2 linked regions of the Arabidopsis thaliana genome follow. The protein of the gene in region 2 interacts with the protein of the main gene of each other region in a pairwise test. Each region holds a gene or a part of one and is shown on either strand. Other genes may lie near its edges.

Region 1 (4,856 bases), on a different chromosome or scaffold from region 2:
ATACACTATGGGGCTTGGATAAGTCAATATTATGAGGCTTTGCTTAGACTATATCTAGTGGGAGAGTGGTGCACCTAAAGCACTCTATGTACCATATCTTTCCCTTTTTTTAATGGCGAAAGCGAAGATCGATTTTTCCACCCATGAAAAGGCTAAGAGAGTTGATATGTTAATGATACATACAAACAAAAATAGTTTGTAGATCAAAACAAAAATCTTTTTCTTTTATCCTGAAAATGTTTGATGATTATAGTTTTGGAATGCTTTAGTAGAAGACTAAATATTATGAGCATTCCTCTAACTGGGAAACTATGGCATTTTGGTTATTACTCGCATCTTTCCAACCAAATTTTGCAAAATCACTAAAAAGTCATACTGAGAAGAAAAAAGTGTACTAGTTAAATTCAATAGTTGTGTGGAAGTGTTTGTTAGTCAAGTTATGGCAATAGACTAAAGGGTTACAATCTTGAAAATATATTGCTAAATATCGTGAATTTGAGTAGTCTACATAGATTTTATCATGACGCAGTTTGAATAGTTTCTTATGGTTCTTTACTGTACAAGGCGTGATGTTACTTTACATATGTGTGTATTTTTAACGTTGAGTACAAAAAAAATCGTTTGTTAGATTTTTAAGTTGTACGTAGTTGACGGTTTCATCATTTCATTTTTAATCAAGATATTAAACCTTCATCGTTTATTGTATCAGTTTGTATCAATAATTACAGCCATAACGGATAACCAGCAGAACGAGTCTCGTTTAGTGGACTGCCCAAAAATTTTAACTTTCTAAAGGCAATATCATTTTAGATTATTCTTCTTCAAAATCCAACCATTTTGGGAATACTTTTTAGGGTCCTACTTTTTAATCAAAAAAGGCTGATTGCAATATAACGATCGTTGATTATTTGGTAACTGGTAGGGTAGGCACCCAACCATGTCCATTAGCTTCTATAATTTCTTATATCTTAAAGTATGAAAAGACTAATTAACGTAAAGGAAAACAAACAATTCTAAATAATCTCTAGTTGCTAGATAAAAGAGATTTATACACATAATATATGAGTCCTACCACAATAACTTCATATAAGAAAAAAAATAAAAGGGGTTCAAAAAAGAGAATTAGTTTGTCTATTTGAATATTTGATGATTATTTTCCACTTCTACTCCATAGAACAGGAAGCTCCCGTCCACCTTCTCCGGCGAAACTCACCTGCTTCTGCACATGTTTAATTTAATATCATTAAAAAAAATTAATATCATTACTTCTTTGACTCTTAATTATTAATTTATAATATATGATTAACCAAACAAACCGATAAATCATTTGATGATCGAGAGGATCTTGATCATTGGTAAGATATGATAATGCATTAATCTTTTTTTCCCCCGAGATATTACAAAAACTAATAAACATGTGTTTCTAAGCATATCCTTCGACAATGTTATTAAGACAAAGATGTATACAATTTCATGAACATGTGAATTCATTTACGAATTCCTTTGTAAATCCATTTATAAGTCCACTCCTACTCCGATAAAAGTTTGACTATAGTAACATGCATATCATGTAAATGTGTGTTTATGTAAATTTGTTTTGTATATATTTACTTACGTCATACTCACGTATGTAGATGACAAAAATATACCCTAGTGGGCTTAATTAGTGGCTTACAATAATAATTTTATAACTCTAATCCAACGCCAAAGCAATGCCTAACGAATTAACTTCCGTTTCTTGCCTTCTACATCAATTTAGGAACATTAAAAATTTAAACTATTTGCGCAATTCCGGGATGATATTTCGGTAATTCCGACAAATGATGATTGACACAAATTATTAATAATAATTCATTATAATCTCAGAAGTTTCGGACCGAGACCCATACATCTCTAATCTCTTCAACTTGAGAAGTAGAACATACTAAATTAACCCGTGTTCAAACTCAGAATCTGACCCGGCTTCTCAAAAACATGGTTCTAGATTGAACCAGCTGAGTTATCAACTCCAAAGTAGTTAAATTCATTTTATGCTTGTTGATTGTACCACTTATATAGATTCTCTATTAAGTTGATTAATTAGTTGAATATGTCCGCTTCAATTTTTTATGTCAAAGATTAAATTTAACGCGGTGAAACTATTTGACCAAAACTCAAAGTAAAAAAACAAGAATTACCTCACGCGCTTTAATCTCCCCACTTCCAAGTTCCCGGCGGCCGTCAACACCACCTCTACCGCCGCCAAGCTCGCCAGACCTCTCCATATAGATACCTAAAATCTTCTCAGCTATGGCCGAAGCATCATTATTATTCTCTTCCATAAGCTTCGTGATCTGAGAACGAGGCAACCTCAACCTCACACTCGTATGTCCAGGCCCAAGCTCAGGCCCAAACCCATCTCCACCGTCAGATCTTCCGATTGTGACGTCAGAAACCGTTCTCCGAGACAACATCAACATATCTAACCGCTCCTTTGCGCCAACGTGGATACCAGACATCACTCTCCGGTACGGTAGCTTATTTTCTGTATCCACCGCCGTCGTCTCCGGTGGAAGCTTAGGAAGCTCGACGAGAAAATAAGTCTTTTTCGGCTTCAAGGTTTGGTTCGGTTCAAGCGGCTTAGAGCGAACTCCAAAGTGTTTAACGGCTTGAGAATCTAACAAAACGTAACCGGGATAATCCGCGGTGACTTCTCTCGCCGTCACCGGAGTTTTAATTCGGAAAGTTTCGCCGTCGATCTTCATTACTTTAGCTCTTTTTCTCTTCACAGTAATGCTGTTTCCCATTTTTTTTTCTTCGCTTTGCTTTTTTTTTTTTTTTGTTTATTTGATTTGATAATGTGAAAATGTGTTATAAAGTGGCTATGTTACTATTTATATATGTTGAGGAGGTTTGGTTGAAAATGTTATTTTTTTGAATTTTAGTGTGTGTGAAGCTGGGAAATATTACAGAGATTCCTTCTAATTTTAATTAAAGTCGTTAACGTTGAAAAAAATCATTCATAATGTTTTAAAAGAATAAAGTTTAATATGTCGGTCCATGGCAAATTCGCATTACCTTTCTTTTGATTTGATTACATTTTTTTGTTTGTTTGTTATGGTGTTTTCAAGATGAAAAAATTAGCATATATATTAAAATCTGAATGACTGTAACTACCGCGCGTGATTTATGGTTGTGCTTATTTTTCCAGGTTTTATGTTGTTATATACTCATGTAGCCGTATTATATGTAAGAAATATAATTAAGTCAAACGATTTTATGAAGAAAATTTATATTCATACAAGAACTACAAATATGGTTGTTTCTGTTTTCAACCTCCACCTAACATGAGTTAATTCAGTTCCAAATTAGACCAATCATTGCCTCACTCTAAATATTGGATTAACCGTGTCATAGAATCTAATCGATATAACTACGACGAATCAGAAAATAACATATAAAAGACATATATATATATCGAGAGACATACAAAACTTTTTTTTGTGTGGTTACTCGAAACTTGGAACAAGGGAGCGGTCAAGACCATATTTATGTGTATCTCAAATTGATATATTGGCTCTAACAATGATGTTTTTCTTAAAATCAGTTCTTATCTAGAAGAAAAACATCAGATGCAAAAAGCAAATGCAAATTAGTAGAAAAACCTCACATGCGCATGCACATGTAAAAAAGCCAGTTAGGGTCCTAAATTCTGCATATGAGATCATTGTTTCCATGTATCAAAATCTATTTTTGAATCCCAATTTTGACATAATGGTACAAAAACGAAGAAAAGCTTTTAAAAGTGAAAATATTTTCGTAAGAATTAATTAAACTAACATTTGGTAAGTATGAAATTATACGATCAGAACCAACTTTGGAGCTTGTAAAGAGGGTATACTCGTGACTAAGTTATTAAAAGCAAAAACATACACGGTTCCGTGTTGGTGTGCATGCTAGTGGTCAAACAAAGCATCCGACATATACTAACCCTTGGTGGGTAAACTCAAATGACAAAACTAACCCTATCTATGAGCTGAACTATGTAACGAAAAGTTAGGCTAAATATGTAAATCGAAATGTCTTTTCCATTTGTATTCTTTCGCTAGGTTTTTGCTGTGTAAGTGCCACTGTTTAAAAAGTATCCGTGCACTGAATCTTCAAGAAATCAGTCTAAGAATTCAATCAACTAAAAAGTCAACGATTATGGTTTTTTAATATTTTGGTCCAACCGAAATGCATTACCAGGTCAAAGAGTTGGTAGGCTATCGGGTCTGGTAAAGATTAAGAAACAATCGCTTCGAATGTGATGAAAAATGGGACAAATATTTCGCTAAATAATCCGCCACTTGATTTGCTTGTGGGGGTGTGAACGAAAGGAAGAACAAGTCGGACTCCTTTTGATGTTCTTAATTCTCGTGCGACTATCCAAAGAGTTGGTAGGCTATCGAGTCAGCTTCTCTTTCACATTGTTAAGAACGTGAAATAATTCAGACAAATCTTTACTCACAACAATTGGTCGAGGCATAACTTATGACACAATGAAATTCATGTTCGAGGGATTCAAACACATGAAACTGCAAAAATTTGTAAAAGCAGGTACGTGAACGTTTGTGTTGGGTACAAAATTGGAAGATCTAGTAAGACAAAAAAAGTTATGGTAAAATATGCAAAAGCATTTGATGAAATTGGAAAAACACAAGTTAATACCTGACTGGAAGTAATCTTTATCTAAAGGAGATGATACAAGAAACAAATAATGTGTAGCAAATGAAACTACTTAATAATAATCTCTTTCTTTCCTTTTGCCCCGTTGCTTGATTTATAGTTGCACTAAACTTGGAACATAAGAAGATAACATAAACGAGTTAATATTC
Region 2 (6,175 bases):
TTAGATTTGAGATTCGGTTTTAGTTCTAATTCTTATACTTACTTATACACATGAGTTCACTCTCGAATAAATGACTCTCATTTATCCTAATTTGTTAGTTATAACAATTTTCATTGATTGATTTAATTGATAAATAATATTTTTGGTGTTTTTCCTATTTATCATTTTGATGCATTTATCTAACTCTTGAGTAAATGATTCATTCTAATTTTAATTACATTGTCTAAAACATATTTAAATTTACATACACTAATAAGAAATTGTTATCTTTAACGTATTTTTTAATAAATAAAAAAAATAGTGTTAATTTAGTATAATTAGATATTTGCCTTAAAATAAACCGTAAACTCAACTAATATACATTGTTACTAATTCTATATATATTAGTATATAAAAACATGAAATAAATTCTTATATTATATTATTTAATTTGTATACTTTAATAAAATCAAAAATTTCATTAAAATTCTAATGATTTTATGTATAAGAATAAATTTATACGACTTATACAACTAAATTTAAATAAGTTAATTTAAATAATTTAATTAATAAGTTAAATTAAAATATTTAAAGCTTAATTATATAATCAAACTATATTAAAATATTTTTATTTATTTTAATATAGTGAATATATCTATGAGAGATTTCGAAGACACTTGTCATTCACTATATTAAAATACTTGAAATTATTTGAGTAAATTGAAATTAGTGAATGACAAATGTCTTCGAAGTCTCTCGTAGATATTTCAACTAAGAACCTCATCCAACTCTGTATTGTGCTCTTTATGTTCCTTTTATGTATCTTGTATATTTGTATGACCAATACACAAGTATGTACAAAATGAATGACTTTTATGGTTTCATTTCCCCATCACGTTTTTTCTTTTGATAAAAGGAGGACTCGACTTACACAGTGCAAACAAATAGAAAAGAAATGAAAAAACCATTTACACCACAATACTTGTTCAAATGGAGTTCTTTCTGAATACAAAGCTCCAATAGATCAAAAGAGAATTAGGCGTTTGAATTGAAACTGAACTCAATTATTATGTGACTTCTTCTTTGACAAGAACATAAAAAACCGGGGGAAAGAAAGCTTCTTCTTTTTCTTTCGAGACTTGGTCTGTGGGGATAGATTGGTTTCAGAGTTTTCTTCTGTTCCATATGACTCACTTGGGCTGGAGGCATAAACAACAGCTTCAGGTGATTGCTCCATCTTTCCTCCTTCAAAGCTTTCTTTTAGGTTTTTCTCAGTGTTGACTCCATCACCAGCCTTTCTCTTTTGTTCATGTTCTGCCCTCCATTTCCTCAGCTCCTGCTCCACCCCCAACTTCCCTTCTTTGGCCTTCTCAGCCTTTTCAGTTGCTTCTTTTAATGCCTTCTTTCTCGCATCCATGTCTCTGTTTACTTCTTCCAACTTCTCCAAGCTTCTCATTTCTGTTTCTTTAGCTTCCTCGATTCTTGAAACCGCTGCTGCTACTCTTGCGTTCGCGAGTTCTTCTGCCTCGTGAGCACGTTTGCTGAGCTCATAGTACTCTTCTAGCGAAAGTGTAACGCTTCGTGGAGAATCGGTGTCATTAGCTTTCAATGTTGATTCACTCTCCTCCAAAGCCTTGATGGCAGCTAAGGCCAGCCTCTCTGAAGCTTTAGCTGCTTCGATTTCCTTCTGCGCAGCAAATAGCCTGCTCTCCATTGTACTTGCTCCAGCTTTTGCTTGCTCTGCTTCTTCTTTCGCCTTTCGTAGCTCTTCGCGAGCAACTTCAGCAAGTGACTTTGCTTCATCAGCCTCTTCTGCTGCTTGCTGAAGTTGCTTCGGTAGCTCCACCATTTTCTCTCTCGCGTCTTTCTCCTTTGACTGAACCGAAGCTATTTCCGACCTCGTTCTGTCAATTTCAGCCTCTATAGAAGCTACTGCTATAGAGGCCATTCCTTCTCTCTGTTTGATAGAGGCAAGAGTAGACTTTTCTTTCTCGAGTTCCAGTTGCAAGGAAGAGGAGGCCAATTTCAAGCAACTCACTTCAGCAGCTGCTTTCTCAATATTGACATTGACCTCTTCAAGTTCCTTCTTTGCAGAGGCAACAGCTGCATGTAAATCTGGATGGCTCATGTTTTCTGTCGAAGGATCGGTGTTTGTGGTTGAGTCACACGCTTCTTGTTTTAGCTTGGATTCCATATAAGCTACCAATTCCGCCTTCAAATCAAGAAGCAGCGCTGAGGCAGTGTCGAGCTTCGATTTTAGATCTTTCGAAGAATGTATCTGTTGGTTAAGTCTTTGGAGTTCCTCTTCCGCTTGCTTCAGTTCCTTCTCCCAACGGTGAGTATCCTGGTCTCTAGCCATAGCTGCTCCAATCCTCTGTTCTTCCGCCTCTAAATGAGAAGCATGTGCTGATTCCAATGACTCCTTTGTAGCTATCAACTCTATGGTGAGTTCTTCCACTGTCTTCTCAACTTCTTTTGACGCCAACATTGCTTCTTCTACTTTCTTTACAGCCACATCTTTATCTTGCACCAGAGCATCATATTCCTTATGCAGAGTTTCTAGTTCCTCCTTGACAGAAGACAACTCTGTAATCGCTGTTGTATGCCTCGCCTTAGCCACCTCAAGTTGCGCTTTAGCTGCAACACTGACATCTTCAGCTATTCCTTGTTCCATCTCTTCAACCCTCAGCTTAGCAAGCTCCGAGTCTTGCTTCGCCTGTTGTTCTTCTGTTTGTGCCTTGTCCAAATTAAGCTTCAACTGTTCTATAAGTCTCTTTGTGCTTTCCAGCTCCTTAAGCACTTGCAGTTTTGCAGCCTCTGCAGTTTCTGAATGTGTTTTGTACTCAGGAATCTCCTCATGAATCTTTTTAAGCTCTTCTTCAATAAGCTTTCGTCTCTGCAAAACCATACACGAAAATATGAACAAGAAAGGCAACAACAAATTAAAACGAGAAATAATCCAAATGTATCCGTTAGTACAATACCTCTACCGCTTGCATTCGGTGAGACTTCCAGTCAGTAATTCCTCCAAATTTTGATACAGCTTCTTTAACAGATTCAAATGGCGCTGCGGTATCGATTAAACCTCGATGTGAGTCCACATTTTTCGGTGTTCCAGTGCTCACCGGTGATCCTGAAAATCTAGGAGATGATACAGTTCTAGGTGACCCCCCACCATTTCTTGCTGTACCCGTCGCAGCCTCGGTAATCTTGACACTAGGTAAACCAATCTCATCTGGCTCCATCACTTCTTCTACAATTGTTGTACTCGTACTATCTTTTCCGGTTAACACCGCAGCGGTTGCAGCATCAGAAGGCGAAAACGTGTCATCGACATAAATCTTCGCATTGCCGGTAGTGTCATCAGTTTGAGATTGTTGAGTCTCTTCAGTATCAGTTTGAGATTGTTGAGTCTCTTCAGTGTCAGTTTGAGATTGTGGAATATTATCAACCTTTGTTGCAGATTGTATGTTAGATTCTCGAATGGTGGAATCAATCAACTCAGGATTGACTTTCTCAACATTATCACTAACAACATTATCAGATGCTTCAACAGTTTTTAAGTCCTCCATTCCCCTGTAACCTGAAATTGCTACAAAACATAAAGACTAATTGAGAAAAAATTGAATACAAAACATCTTTGATGATCAAATTACTCTAATCAAACAAATATGGTATACAAGAATCAAACATACTTTAATCAAGATCATCGGATTTTCATCTTTGTGTAAACAAATTCGGAAACGTGAGTAAATAATTACCAATTCCAGGATTTAATAGTGTTTTTTTAAGAAGATAAATACGAACAATGATAATTTCCTACAATTCAAAGAAAAATGAAAAGTTTCCGAATTTCAAGAATTCTGAGTTTATCAGCTGGAGAAAAAAAAAATATGAAAAATACAAAAGTTGTATGCCGACAAAAAAAAGCTGCATCAAGAAGATTCAAGAAGAGAAGAGAAGTCTTACCGGAGGATTATGATGATCGGAGGTAGTAGAAGAAGTTTAATTTATTATTTCAGACAGAAATTAGAAAGAGATAACTGCGGTCGCGGAGACAAATCATGAAGCTATCTCTCATCGGCTCATCTTCATCATCCATCTGGCATTCTCTCTCTTTCATAATGTTCGGTTTTGTTTGTTTATTTTATTTTTTTTCCTTTTTTTTTAGTTATTTTGTTATTCAGTTTTAGTTTTTAATAAAGAAAATTAGTGGCTTCTTGGTGTTTCATTGGTCCACGTATAAAAAGTAGTTAAACCAAACTACTTGACCTGAACAACAACAAAAAAACTGGTTTTTGTTTATTTTTAGAGATGAATGAGGCTGGCAAAGTGGAGAGGGTCGCACCAAGCAAGTTTTGAGTTACATTACCCGACCCGGATTCGATCTTTAATGTAATATTGTTTAATAGAAAATAAATTTGTATCAATTGTTTTAGTTCGTTTAAATCTTCTATTTTTTTTTAATTTAAGGAATTTTAGACCAAAAAATTCAGAATAGTAAGATTAAATCAAAAACAAAAAATTTGTTTCTTTACAACTAAAAACGATGGTCATACTCAGTATAAGAAAGAATTTGTTTGGAACTTAGTGTGATTGGTTTAAACGCAGCCAATGTGGATAAAATTACAGGAGTATACAAAAGTGGACGGTTGCGGTTTTAAATGTTATCAAGCAGTTTAAACGATTGGTTTAGCGGTTGAAAATATATGCTTTGTAAAAATTATATAATTGATAAAATAGCGGATGTGAGAACGATATAAAGAAAAGAAAATTTGTTAATCAAGACGGTCAAAACCAAAAAGTTTCGTCCTTCGACTAAATTTTAATATGTTATCGGCTTCAATTCGAAGTGAAAACCCTAGAGAACCGAAAGAAATCATAAACTCTAGTAATTAATGTTCTAAAATTATAAACCAAGAAGGGTGAGGCCCGTGAGGGATAGATGGAGAGGAGACGATCATAAACTAAGAAGAGTGTTTATAATGACGTTTTGAATTTCCTCAATGAAACCTTCTCACGTTTTGAGAAGTAGGAAAGCTTTGCAGGTACACGTGGCATTTGAGAATTAGCTATCAGAGTGTTTGTCTACGTGGCATCTTGAGAGAGTAGTTTACCAATTGATGAGATTGATGGTTTGAGAAATCTCAATAAATTTTTTTTCTTAATAGTAAATTTTCTTAATTTATATTTTAAATTAAATTATCAAAAGTGGTTAGTTTTGCAAATCATCTTTCTTGATTACTCAATAAATTTCTCTCTCATCATATTATATATATATATATATATATATATATTAAAAGCATTCAAATTCAGAAAGCAAAAATTGAAATAATAATTCTGCTAATCGGATAATTGTAATAAGATGATGACGACGACGAATTAAGGTGTCATTTTTGGTACACATTCACTCACTTACTAATCATATTCGAGATTGATGATTTGCCGTATCAAAATTATTCATTGATTTTGGGTTCCAATTGGTCTTAATAAAATATAACACTTTGCAAATGTTCAAACATACAAATTTGTATGAAATGCAAGATCTATTTAATTCTAAAAGTATTACATTAAATCAAATGTAACCGGTGAAAAAGAATAAGAAAAAAAAACAAATGTAACCATTTCTTTGCATTATAGTTTTAAATAGACAAACTTAAATATAATTACAAGTACAACTCTTGATTTTATATTGGGATACAGGGATAATAGTATAGGTTTGATTGGTGATTATCAACCGCAGTTTTTTTTCTTGTCATCATTTCAACTGCAATTTGGGATCCAAAAAACAACCAATTGTAAATACTTCACATTGGTGGGTGAGAATAAAAGTGTCAACTTCATTTTCCATCTCTTTATCTATCTAATCAAAGAATTCTATCAACTCAATGATGAAGAAACTTCAACTTTGCATGTCTTGAGAAAAAAAGATATTCCAGCATATCAATGTCGAATCATGTGATTTGAAAGGATAAAAGTATATTGCTCACAAAATTTCTAAGTGTTTTCGCGGAAAATAATAATAATATATGCGATTCTATTCTTTTCTTTGTCAATTGTTCCAAAAATACATTACGAAATTTTACGGTAGAGCACCACAAAAAAAAACGATATTGCTCAATAAAACATTCACATCAAGAAGTTATTGCTCAATAAAAAAAAATTGTTTTGTAATAAAAAAAACTTTTCTTTTAAT

What was found.
Region 1: the proteins of WEB1 (region 2) and AT1G66480 interact in a two-hybrid assay, tested with the Arabidopsis thaliana proteins (one study listed by BioGRID).

The regions. Positions count from the first base shown.
Region 1 is NC_003070.9:24,804,620-24,809,475, forward strand, and holds AT1G66480 (plastid movement impaired 2), read right to left. Parts: upstream 2,939-4,856; 5' UTR 2,787-2,938; coding exon 2,178-2,786; intron 1,220-2,177; coding exon 1,151-1,219; 3' UTR 799-1,150; downstream 1-798. Other genes in the region: AT1G66490 (F-box and associated interaction domains-containing protein), read right to left, coding at 4,802-4,856.
Region 2 is NC_003071.7:11,296,941-11,303,115, reverse strand, and holds WEB1 (WEAK CHLOROPLAST MOVEMENT UNDER BLUE LIGHT-like protein (DUF827)), read right to left. Parts: upstream 4,203-6,175; 5' UTR 3,949-4,202; intron 3,948-3,948; exon of another isoform or gene 3,675-3,947; intron 3,572-3,674; 5' UTR 3,552-3,571; coding exon 2,964-3,551; intron 2,876-2,963; coding exon 1,040-2,875; 3' UTR 797-1,039; downstream 1-796. UniProt on the Arabidopsis thaliana protein: Required for the chloroplast avoidance response under high intensity blue light. This avoidance response consists in the relocation of chloroplasts on the anticlinal side of exposed cells.